4 separate regions of the Mus musculus genome follow, and regions 1, 2 and 4 are each reported to be linked to region 3. The links are microRNA targets in miRTarBase. Many come from high-throughput screens and were not tested one by one. Region 3 holds a microRNA gene; each other region holds the end of a gene's coding sequence. Distances are from middle to middle.
Evidence for each region. The annotated mature microRNA mmu-miR-34b-5p reads AGGCAGUGUAAUUAGCUGAUUGU and lies in region 3 at 1,495-1,517, opposite strand. An mRNA with a match to its seed (bases 2 to 7 or 8) in the 3' UTR can be bound and repressed. Matches are read on the target gene's strand: a 7mer-m8 pairs with bases 2 to 8, a 7mer-A1 pairs with bases 2 to 7 and ends in A, and an 8mer does both.

Region 1: miRTarBase lists Tmod2 as a target of mmu-miR-34b-5p. The part of its 3' UTR that is shown has no 7-base or 8-base seed match.
Region 2: miRTarBase lists Ptpru as a target of mmu-miR-34b-5p. Seed matches in the 3' UTR shown: 7mer-m8 at 725-731.
Region 4: miRTarBase lists Adcy1 as a target of mmu-miR-34b-5p. The part of its 3' UTR that is shown has no 7-base or 8-base seed match.

The regions. Positions count from the first base shown.
Region 1 is chr9:75,571,218-75,574,311 of GRCm38, reverse strand. Tmod2 (tropomodulin 2) reads left to right here. Exons shown (of 10, transcript NM_016711.3): 10 at 189-3,094. The coding sequence ends at 223. Among named protein-coding and RNA genes, the nearest start is that of Tmod3, 13 kb to the right of the region's middle.
Region 2 is chr4:131,766,641-131,769,734 of GRCm38, reverse strand. It overlaps Ptpru (protein tyrosine phosphatase, receptor type, U), which reads left to right. Exons shown (of 31, transcript NM_001083119.2): 31 at 175-1,278. The coding sequence ends at 237. Among named protein-coding and RNA genes, the nearest start is that of Gm52680, 31 kb to the left of the region's middle.
Region 3 is chr9:51,102,116-51,105,209 of GRCm38, forward strand. Mir34b (microRNA 34b) reads right to left here and starts at 1,530; the gene lies at 1,447-1,530. It overlaps Mir34c (microRNA 34c), which reads right to left and starts at 995; the gene lies at 919-995. It also overlaps a transcript of Hoatz not described here and a transcript of Btg4 not described here.
Region 4 is chr11:7,169,553-7,172,646 of GRCm38, reverse strand. Adcy1 (adenylate cyclase 1) reads right to left here. Exons shown (of 20, transcript NM_009622.2): 20 at 1-3,094. The coding sequence ends at 2,932. Among named protein-coding and RNA genes, the nearest start is that of Ccdc201, 17 kb to the left of the region's middle.

The sequences.
Region 1 (3,094 bases), 24 Mb from region 3:
TCATAACAGTAGCCAAGTTACAGTTATGAAGTAGCAATAAAATAGTTGTATGGCTGGGGGTCAGCACAGCGGGAGGAACTATATTAAAGGGTCGCAGCGTTAGGAAGGCTGAGAACTCTGCTCTAGAGTGATTTTAAAGGATATCCTTTGGTTCATCTTTTTTAATTCTTTCTCTCTCTCCTACCTAGTTCGAAAGAAGAGAGTTGAAGGAGACAGGAGGTAAAGCCCCACTCAAAGGGGTGAAGTCTCACCGTGCGGCCATCCAAAAAAACATACCCAAAATCCTCTTCTCCACCGGACCATTTGATCCAAGGCTGTTCATTTCCGTTAACCATATCCATCATAACTTTAACTGTTACTCCTTTTTAGCGCTAATTATTTGTCTGAAATATGTGTAGCAGTTTGCCTCGCTCCTGGACACACCTGGTGGCTTGCACAAGTAGGGTGATACAGATCTTAGACAGTGACAACGCTGGAGATGATCTTAACCACTTTCATATTGTAGTTTGTCTTGCTTTCTTTCGTGAACCGTTTTTAGTCATGGAAGGGACTTAGCATGTAGCATGTGTTTGTAGCTGATGACAAAGTGGAGGCCTATCTCTGTTTACATGCATTGCTTTGAGCTAGGCCAGGAACATGGGGAGTGTGTGCTACTGACCACATGAGAAGTTAGTATTGCCAAGCTTTCACAAATTCTCCGTTAATTTCAGAAAAAAAAAAAAATAGTGTCTCTACATGCACATGCCCAACTGATAGATAGATGGTCAGTGGGATCTTCCTTAGAAAGCACTTTAACGTAGCACTGGCAAAGGGACTGTTTAGTGCCCCGTGAGTATATTAACAAGTCACACACTTACCTTTACTTACTGTTAAACATGAATGAAACATATTTGTTAAGGTATGTGGTCCTGGGAATTGTATCCAGAACCCTGTGTGCTAGGCAAGCACTCTACTCCTGAGCTACATCTCCAACCCAAATTATATTTAAAATGATTCTCTAATAGGTAATTATTTACAAAGCCGTTGAAAGACTTTCCAGGTATGATGGGAAATTTTTTAAAGTTTAACCAAAAGAAAATTTCAAAATAGTACATTCCCACATAAAATAACAATAACAGCGTCTTGGGAGCTGGAGAGCTGGCTCAGCAGTTAAGAGTGCTTGCTGCTTTCCCAGAAGACCAGAGTTCAGCTTCAGCACCTGTGTCAAGCAGCTAACTTGTATAGCTCCATCCTCGGGGGACTCTGATGCCTCCAGCCTCTGAGGGCATCCACACATAGGTATACATACCCCCTATATACATACACATGATTAAAAATAGATTTAAAAGTTATGGTACCTTAATCAAAGTTTCTGATACATAATGAATTTGACAAATTTTAAAAGCAATTGTTGATTCATCTTTAGCATAACCAGATCACCAGCTAAATTGTGGGCATTGTGGTTAATTATATAGGTTTTTTGGGGGTTTTTTGGTTTTTTTGTTTTTTGTTTTTTGTTTTGTTTTTTTGTCACATGCAATTGCTTCTTTGCCTTTTGGCTTAAAATCAAGCATTGATTTTTGTCATATATCACAGTAAATCCAGCTATTTGCAAACATTAGGTTAAAAGGAATTGTCAGTTGCTAAGATGTTTGTCACCTCGAAGACAGAGCCTGTGAAGACATGACTGAAGTGACCATGAAGTGACTGATTTCCTAGTACAACAACTGGACAGCATAATGCAAATTTAAGGTACCAAGTGATGGAATGTTTTGGCCCAAAATAATCACTTTTCTCTCCTGTCATAGACATCAGCCACTGTCAGGTACCTGTGTTAGCTGCCCTTCTCACTGCTGTGACTAAATACCTGACAAAAGGAATATAAGGAAAAGGGGGATTCATCTTGGCTCACAGTTTTAGGTTGCCACCAACTGTGGCAGAGAAGGATAGCAGCAGGAGGATGAGACAGTTGTCACATCACTGTCACAGACAGGAAGCAAAGAGAGATGAATGCTGGGGCTCCGCCCACTTTCCTTTCCCCCCTTTTTATTTAGTCTGGAGTTCCAGCCTATGGGATGGTGCTCCCCACATTCAGGGTGAGTTCTCTCTTCTTGGTTAAACTTCTCTGGTAACACCGTAGGTGATTCCAAATCCCATCAAGTTGACAATGAAGATCCTGTCTAGCATCTCTTGTCCTTCCTTTTCCTCTCCTTTCATGACAAAGCATCCTTCTTGTTTCCCTTCTCTCTATGTCGCTAAGTCAGTGGTTCTCAACCTGTGGGTCACAATCCCTTTGGAGGTTGAATAACTCTTTCATGGAGGTCACTTAAGATTATTGGAAAACACAGATATTTACATTACAACTCAAAACAGTAGTAAAATTACAGTCATGAAGTAGCAATGAGATAAATGTATGGTTGGGGGTCACCACAACATGAGGAACTGTATTAAAAGCAGTAAGAAGGTTGAGAACCACTGCTCTAAGTCCTATAAAGGTGATGGGAAACTATCAGACAAGAAAGAACTTGGAGTCAGGAACCTTGGGAAAAAAAACTGGACACTTAGAGGGAGAAACTGAACACTTACTGTGCTATAAATAACCACAGCTAAAGCAAAAATTCTCAGACACACCTCATTTTCTTGGCTCATTTTTATACTCTTCAGGACATAATAAATAGGGTATTCTGACATTTTTTGAGTCACCCCCAAGTGCTTTAACTTAATACTTTATCTCCCTGTCAATCTAAAAATGTATTTGTTTTGTTTTATCCCTTAATCTGATCTTTCCTTCCTTCTCACCCACTTGGGTGTGGTATTGAAGCCAGTTTGTATAGGTTTGCTGGTTTGTTCAGTTTTCAAGAATTCTTTAAATTCTTGCTCAAAATTGCCCTGCTAAAAATTAAGGTGTGGTAGCATGCCCTAGTGATCCTAGCACTTGGAGTGGACGCAAGATCAGTGTTGGCTACACAGAAAGTCTGAAGCCAGCCTGCTACCTGAGACCCCTCCCTCAACTTGAACATGAAGTGGCTTGTACTTACAGTGAAATCGATGATAGTAAAGGCAAAACTATGCTCTTGAGATTCTTTACGTCTGTTGTGCCTGTATGGCATACAGA
Region 2 (3,094 bases), not on the chromosome of region 3:
GGCACGGCCACTTCAGACTCCCCAAACAACCCCCCATAGGGTTTCCCAGAACCTACATACTCTTGTCTGGCCCCCAACTTTGGGCCTCCCTTCTAGTCCTGGGTTGTTAGGATGCCTTTCTTATTCCCCTTTTTCTGGAGGGGAGCCCCAGCTCAAGGTGCTCTCTTTCCTCAGGATCAGTATCATTTCTGCTACGACGTGGCCCTGGAGTACCTGGAGGCTCTGGAGTTGAGATAGCAGGCGCCTGACCTGGGGCACCCAGTGAACACCCAGGGCATGGCCCATCATCCCAGATGAGGAGGGCCTGTGGCCCCAACTTTGCTCAGCCATAATTCCACAGGGACAACACTGGAACGGACGGACACTGCACCATCTTGGTGACCCCCACGGGAAGGCTGCAGGCCAAGGAGAAGCTTTGCAAGACTGTATCAGCCCCACCTCTAGAGGGCCCTGCAGACCTGTGCAGAGAAGCTCGCCTGGACCAAAATAGCTAGTGCTGGAGAGCCCAGGCCAGGCCCCTCTGCTCCATCACAGTCCTTGGCCAGAAATGAATGAGTGTCTGCAGAGAGCACCCATGGTTTGCACCCAGTATGGTCCTTTCTGCACGTGGTGGAGGCTCACTGGGACTTGGCAGGGGCTGAGTCCCCGAGAGTCCTGAAGCTGGGACTCTTCCCCGTCTCGCCGGTGGGACCCGCTGAGCATCCTGCAGCTCCATTCTCCATCCCACTGCCCCTACAGACCTGGGGTGCTTTGCTCGCTTTCCTCCTGCTTCTGAGCTTTTCCTGCAACAGGACCCGTGCCTCCCTCCTGGGCTCCATCCCTGCCTGGCCCAGTATATGCAGAATGATATACTTCAGCTCCCTCTTCCCTGGCCTTTGGGTCTCCATGGCTCAGTCCTGCTCAGCTTGGGCCTGTGACAATCCACAAGGCTGAATCACAGCCCCTGGGGTTGAGGTCCCTGTGGCTCTTGGTGAGGCTGCCACTGGATCGGGGCAGGCTAGAACAGGGCTGGTGTCAGCTCCTAGAGTACAGAGGAAGAAGGGATACTTTGGAATGGAGGACCAGTGCTTTTTTTGTTGTTGTTATTTTGTTATTTTTTTGATGGGAGGGTGGGAAGTTCTCTTTATAATGGGGTAGGCCACACCCCCATTTCGTGCCTCAATTTCCCCATCTGTAAACTGTAGATATGACTACTGACCTACCTCACAGGGGGCTGTGGGGAGGTGTAAGGTAATGTTTGTAAAGCGCTTTGTAAATAAATGTGCTCTCTGAATGCCACCCTGTGGCTCTGTGTGTGTGATGGATGCCTGCCCGGCCTCTTGGGCCAGTGTGGGTCAGAGGCCTAGATCCTAGGCTTGTTTTGGCTTTTTTATTCACCAAACAGTAGATATATGGACCAGGGCATCACTCAAGAGTCCTCCCGCAGAAGTTGTTCCTGCAACACAGTACTTAACAAGAGTACCTTAAGGGAGGGCAGGGTTATTCTGGGATACAGCTCAAGGGTACAGTCCACTATAGTGAGTGTTCTCGTTTGGCTTCTGTTGCGATGATAAACACCAGGATCAACAGCCATGTGGACAGAAAAGTGTTTATTTCATCTTACATGTTGCAGTCCATCATGAGTGAAGCCAAGGCAGGAACTCAGAGCAGGACTCGGAGGCAGAAGCCAAGGAGGAACACTGTTAATTGGTTCACTTCCAGACTCATGTTCAGCATCTTTCTTCCATAGCTCAGGTCCACCAGCCTAGGAATGGTTCTGCCCACAGTGGGCTGGACCCTCCCCCATCAACCATTAAGTAAAACCAGTTCCTTGAAGACAGGAGCACAGGCCAGTGTAGTGATGGAGGGGAGTCTTCAGTTGAAGTTCTGTTTTTCCAGGTGCATCAGGTTGACAACTGGGATTAGGCATTGCAGTGGGGAAGGCTCGGGTGGAGGGGGGAGGAGGAGGGAGGAGGAGGTGGGGGAGGGCAGGGCCTCAACCATCTCTTCACATTGCATTCCAGTCAAGAGGCAGAGAACAGGGGCTGAGGAAATCCCTTAATGGGTAAGAGTGGCTTGCTAGGCAAGCATGAGGACCCAAGTTCAAGACCTTAGCACCCACATAAAAGTTGGGCATGGCCACACATGTCTATAACTCTGGCATTGGACAGTGAAGACAAATGAGTTCTGGGAGTTCCCTTGGCTAGCCTAGCCAAAATGGTGAGCTTCAGGTCAGTGGAAGAGGACGTAATGAGGTCAGCAACAGAGGAAGAGACCAGATGTCCTCCTCTGGCTTCTGTGAGGGCACACATGGACGTGTGTTTGTCCCCTAAAATAAAATGATGGATTTTGGTCTCAATTACTTTTCTTCTCTTTGTTTGGTTCAAGACTCCAGCCTCTTCAATTAACTCAATCTAGGTGTGTTTAGAGGCTTGACAAGATTAAGTTTCAGAAGCCATTCCTCAAGCAATGGGCTTCATCGTGAGGTCTCAGGCTGTCTGCTATCCCCCAGAGAGGGGATGGGGTCAAGGTCAGCTCTGTTGTTGTAACAGTGGGGGCTCAGCCGTCTCATTCAGAGCTGACCTGTAAGCCTTACCTGATGGACTCAGATATGTGTCTGTCTTAGTCAGGGTTTCTATTCCTGCACAAACATCATGACCAAGAAGCAAGTTGGGGAGGAAAGGGTTTATTCAGCTTACATTTCCATACTGCTGTTCATCACTAAGGAAGTCAAGACTGGAACTCAAGCAGGTCAGGAAGCAGGAGCTGATGCAGAGGCCATGGAGGAATGTTCTTTACTGGCTTGCTTGTTCTGGCTTGCTCAGCCTGCTCTCTTATAGAACCCAAGACTACCAGCCTAGAGATGGTCCCACCCACAAGGGGCCTTTCCCCCTTGATCACTAATTGAGAAAATGCCTTACAGTTGGATCTCATGGAGGCATTTCCTCAACTGAAGCTCCTTTCTCTGTGATAACTCCAGCTGTGTCAAGTTGACACAAAACTAGCCAGTACAATTGACACACAAATACATCACTAGTAAGCCTCAACCCTTAGTTCTTATTCATCCCCAAGATCTTAAATAACTTTAAAAGTCCCACAGTCTTTACATATTAAA
Region 3 (3,094 bases):
CTTCTGTCGAGGTCACAATTTTCGGGGCCAGTCAAGCCTTAAGAGTAAAAGCCTCAACTTTGTGATGTGTACAGTCCTGGACTGTCTCTTAGATCCTCAGCCAGCGTCTCCTCCTCCCCCAGATAGCCCAATAATGTGAGCTTTAAAGAGCGCCTTCCTCTTTTGGACAAGATTGCCAAGGCTTCGCACTCTTACCTCTGGGGAAATTCTCAGGTTTGCATTGATACATCTGCATAAAGCGCTAATCTAGAACTGGGCCGAGAAGTACCGGTGGATACAGCTTGTGTGATTTAAAACCTCTCAAATCTTTTATTACAGATATTAGGAAACCAGCTGGTTTTAAATCGTGTTCACTAATTATTCCCACGAAAAGTTGCCTAGAACGCAACTGTTAATACCTTAAAAAATATACCTGGTTAAGTGGGCTGAGTTCCCTTGCCCCATGGAAAATTATGAAAACATTTAACGTTCCCTTCCAGGTCACAATCATGTGTGAGACGTTTCCCTGGAGATTTTGTCTGTATAGCAACTAACCATTTAATGACTTTACGGGGTTGACAGGAGCTGAAATGGAGATCCTAAAGCCAGTTTTTGGAAAGGAAATGAACACGATTGCTGAGATTTTCGTGGCGCTTTATTTTTTAGAGTGTTATTAATATGTCAGGCAAAGTCCAAAGATTTATAATCACAAGTCAATATAATGACCAAATCAGCTAAGGGATAATTTCTATTTTTCCAATATATCTAAAAATCACAAAAAATGTACCCCACACAAATTGATACATTGTATACTTAGCAGCTAAGGGCTAGCGGTTCCCCCCCCCCCCCCAAACCACTAATAGTATGGTAAGAATATTTCCCTATGGCTCTGTCCTCACCAAAATGACGATTCACAGGAGGCTCAGTCGGAGGAATTTCAGTCTTTTTACCTGGCTGTGTGGTTAGTGATTGGTACTATTAGCAATCAGCTAACTACACTGCCTAGTAACTAGACTCAGAAAAAAGCATGCAGTCTTTAGCTGGTGCTCTCAGACTTTGGTGTGACCAGAGCAAATCGTCAGCCAAGCTGTGGTTGACTCTAGTCGCTGCCTTGGTGATAGCTTTCTCAGAAGTGGAAATCAGGCAGTGAATCACAGCAGCAGCAGGAACTGTTCTGGGGGGGGGGGGGGGGGGGCTCTTCCTGGCCTTTTTTTTTTTTTTTTTTTTTATGTTAAGGCCGGTGTATACCGATTCTCTTTACACATCACTGAACCGTTTTTGCTCTGGCTCTTACACACAGGTAGCCGAACGGTCCCTAAAGGAGGCCGCCGGTCTCCGAGGGTTACTTGCACTTAGACCTCGTGCTCCCGGCCCTTTGCTGACGCATCCTGGCTCCGGCCTCGGCTTTCTGCGGAGTCAGTGGGGCTGCAGCGCTGGCTTCTCCTCCCGCGGGCGGCGGGTGATGCTGTGCCTTGTTTTGATGGCAGTGGAGTTAGTGATTGTCAGCACCGCACTACAATCAGCTAATTACACTGCCTACAAACCGAGCACCGGGCGCCCGCCACTGCAGCTCCCGAGGGTCGGGCCCCTCGCCCCCTTTCGCCACGGTCGACAGGCGAGGGCGGCGGAGCGAGAGGTGCCTCAGGCTCCCGAGGCCCCTCCACACCCAGCAGGGCCGCGCGCGACCCCAGGTGAACCCCCAGGCGCTGAGGCCCCCTGTCCCCGCCGTCCCCCCCGAGACCCCCGACTCAGCCCGGACCCCAGGGCATCCGGCCCGAGTCCTTCTTCCCGCAAGCCGGGTCTGACCCGCCTCCAACAACTTCTTCACGGCTTCCAGACCCAAGTCTAGAGCCGGTTCTGTCCAGCCCGCGCGCCCCGCAGCTCCTACTGGCCGAGTGACCGTGGCTCAGCGACCAACCGCCCTTGGAACCCCGAGGCCGAGGGGGCGGGGCGAGTGGGGGAGGGGTGGCAGAAGCTACCAGAAGGGGCAATGGGAGGGCTCCTGCAGAGCCTCCTGGGAAGGGGCCGGGGAGATGGAGAGACAGATTCTTGAGAAGTTTATCTTCACAGTGTAGTTACTGCTACATCGAAGAAAGAAGCGCAGAGACCTACATCCATCTCTCCTTCCCAATATATTGCCCAAGAAGCCCCAGGCCTCCTCACTGTTCATATGCCCATTCTCAGAAACCGCTTCCCAGGCGTCTCATCTGGAGCCTTCCTGCCTGAGCAGGCCTGGGCACTCATACCTGCAGGATTGCCCTTGCCTGTACCCAAGTTCTTTCTTAGGACTACCTCTTACAGGGCCATACAGTGAAGTGTGGGCCACTCTTCTGGTCAAACATTGAACCAACACCCTTGTTGGTAGGTCAAAGTTGTGGCCCTTATAAGATCAAAGACACAGTTTTGATGATCTCCCCGTGAGCCTTGAGGATATCTAGTCTCACTTTGGGCTCCTGTTTTATTTAAATGTTACAAATCCAGCACCTAACAGGCGTTTGTCTTACTACCCATCAGACAGTCTAGGTGGTAACAAAATGTGAACACATTATTTATTACTCCAGACAGTATAAAGTTGCTAAACTGATAGATTTTCCTAATAGAAAAAAACAGGTATGGGTGGGGGTGGGAGGTGTGCCAACAAGAGCTGACAGACACCATCATGGAGGAGGTGAGAGTTCAGGTAGATCCTTGAAGCAAGGGTAGATTTGGACATTAAGGATGAGGTCTGTAGAAGCCCGAGAAGCCATATCTTCTGTCAGTTACATTCCCCTTGTTTTTGCTATTTTATATCTGATAACGGGGTGCGTGTTTGTGTATATTGGGAATAGGAGGCGCTGAGGGGACAGCATTTCTGCGCCATCTTCACTAATATTTCTTTCCTTTAGTCTTTCCTCTCCTTTCCTTTAATTAATTGAGCCCAGAGAGGATATACAGTATTCTCTGATTGCAAACTTTGTGGAATTCAGTAGGAAGTAGCCGTCCCAGACTGTGGTCTTCCTGTATGCTGTATGACACCCATTTGTATTGATCCAACAGTCTTGCAGTCTACAAAGGGACATTTCTTAGCTATACACTGATACCTGTAAGCCCAGCAAATGGTCTTGTAGATGCCACT
Region 4 (3,094 bases), not on the chromosome of region 3:
CACCTTGGGTGGCTCTGCCCATGCACCCATGTGGCCTCGGTTTGACACACGCATGCGTGATTGCAGTGTTATCGACCTAGGCTGGCTCTGCTCAGCGTCATATAGGTCAGATCCAGGGGCCACTGGCTGGCCTCCTCCCTCATGGCTCTGATGGTCTGCCTGCTGTATACTCAGGCTTTGGCCAGTTTCAGCTCCTTGTGGTTATGGGCGTGCGTGACATCCTGGCTTCTTTGCTGGCTGGAGCTGTGCTGTCCTCCTAAGTCTCTTCAATGTATTTCATGTCCTCATCTTCAGGTCAGCAACAGAGACTCAGTCCTGGGCATCTTTCTGTCCACTTCTGAGGGGCCCTGTGTCCACACTAAACCCATTGGTGTAGACTTTCTCAATCCTTTCTCAATCCTTCAGGCCTACCTACCCTAAGTCCCCTTGTCAAGGTCCTCCACTGTGGCAAAGGACACACAGGACCTGGGGCTGTCATGTGGGCATCTTTGAGAACCACTCTTCTGTCCCTCATCTGATCAGCCAGAGAGGCACTAGTTCTGGGTGCCTAGAAGCCACTCTGAGGAACTCCAGGCTGTGTGAGAGGTTCTCTACCCTCCTCAGTGGCCTGGAAGGCCAGGGACAGTGCCACAGCCCTCAGCCAAAGTCACCATATACTCACTTGCTCTGGGTGCTCCTGGCTGAGCTGACTGCAAGACAGACAGACGAGGTGAGAAATTCCTAGTGCAAAAGAGCCCCATGAGGAAAAGCCATTTGTCCCAAGGATAGGAACACCTGGGGACGGGCAGGAGGCAGGAGCCACAAAGAAAGAGTGCTCGCATGCCTACCTAGGTTCTGGCTCAGAGGAATCTGCCCCTTCTCAGAGCGCCCCAACAACCTGAATCTTTCTTATAAGTGCAATCTTAAGATGGTCTTCAGGGCCATGGGAGAAACCAAAAGCCTGTCCTGCTGCCCTCAACTCTCTGGGAGCCAGCATTCTCCCCCAACACTGTTACAACAAAATACCACGCCTCAGGAACCAGACATGACCACCGGAGGACGATGAAGCTACCTGCTCTCCAACCCTGAAGGCTGCAGTGGAGTGCTGAAGTCAGTCTGGCCCTGGCTCTGGGTTCTAGCCACAGTGGGCTGACAGAAAGGCAGCCGACAATGCCCAGGCCGTGCTACCTGATATCATCAGAAAGGCAACAAAGCAGGGTGGGCATGGGTCAGAGTTCCTCTGCAGAAGGTGCTAGATGATACCCTTACCACCACCCACAAGCTCCATCCCTGGCCACAGAGAATGTGCAATCTTCACAGCTGCCCCACCCGGCCCTAGGGCACCTGAGGTGCAGCCTCAAAGACTTGGAGACTTGGCATGCAGCCTCCAGCTCTCCCTTGCTGAAAGTTTTCTTCCTACCCACAGGTAACCTGAGTCTAGACTCAGCTGAGTGTCCCAGGAACGGGCGCTGGCTGACCTGGAAAATTACCCAGGCACCAACAAAGCCACACACTTGAACCAGAGCTGAATCCAGAACACCACATATGCACCCTGCCGGGGAAAACTAGGCTTTGCTCTGCCCTATTCTAAGAAGATAGGACCCTTGGAAGGGGGCAAGCTCTTGGGGAGCCGTGAGGAAATGGGCCTCCACAGACAAGATCAGGCAGGGCTTATGCCCACCTGCCCTGCTTCAAGCTGCCTCCCTTCCTGTATTGAAACTGAGTATCTTCAAAAGCCAGGCTTCATCCCGCTATTTCCAGCCAGTTGCTTCCTACCAACTCCTCCAGAATCCTGTACCCTAACGGGATTTCCTCACAGTTGCAGTTACTGGGACACACAGGTGGGAGGTCCCAGGTGTCAGTCAACAGGGCCACTCTTTCCCATCACCCTGGAGCAGGGACACCACACCTAGACTCAGGAATGCACACTGTGCCGACTCTGAAACCACCAAGAGGAGAGCTGGTTAGGCCAAGGAGAGGATGTCTTCCAGCAAGGAGAGCACTCGTGGGTATAGTGGGTCAATCGCTCTTAGCATAAACGAAGGCTTGATTCTTGTTAGACTTACAGCGTCCAAGACACCACAGAGAAGACAGCACACACCCCTCCTCTCTGAATGTGCAGCCATGGCACAGGAAGAGGAGGGCCCACTGTCGCAGCAGTCAGAAGCCAGCAGCCAGGAGGGGTTGGAAGAGAATGTACGGGCCAGGAGATCAGAAGTGGGGCTGTAGGGCCTCCCGAGAATTCCAGAAGACCTGCCTCTGGCTGTTAGCAAGAGCCTACTCTTGGGGAAAGCCAGCAACCCCGCTCTTCATGCAGTAAGAGGTGTCTTTTCAATTCTTCCCATACTGCCCTGACCAAGACCTGACCAGCTCTTTGCTGTGCCCATGGTATGAACAGCTCAACTGTCATGGCCCTGCCCAGCGGGGCCAACTTCCCAGTCTGGCACTCATACTTGAAACTGCTACCCAGGCTTGGAGTTACCCATAAGCCAGGACCTACCAGGGCTAGAGCCATCCATAAGCCAGGGCTTACCAGGGCTGGAGCCACCCATAAGCCAGGACCTACCAGGGCTAGAGCCACCCATAAGCCAGGGCTTACCAGGGCTGGAGCCACCCATAAGCCAGTTGACTTGGGGCTCAGTCATGGTGGGCTCCTCTGCCAGCTTGACCTCCATAGCTTTTGCTGTGACCATGGAAGATACTCCCAAGGTCCCGCCACCTATGGCAACACTAGCCAGGCATAACCAGGTCATTAGGAAGAGACAGAGCTCAGTGTGCCCCAAGGGGTGGCTTGGGCACATTTCCCATTGGCCTCAGGCCACACTCAGACAATGCTTCTCCTCCAGCCCAGCCACTTGGCTCCTCTGTCTGGTCCTGGCTAGAGCCATGGTGGCTTGTGACACCCTGGAGCATTCTTGCCTTGCATGCATCTCCAGTGGCCCATGGGCTCCACTAGGCTTCCTTCCCTGCTGCTGTGGATGACAGGTACTGGCTAGTGGGGGCTGGAGGGAGCCCTGGTCTGACTGGGGGTCCAGCCGCGGGACACAGTGGGGGCCGTCTGGCCTGGCCTCCGCCTCTCCCATAAGGACACATCCTTCGTTCCAAGCGAAAGGTC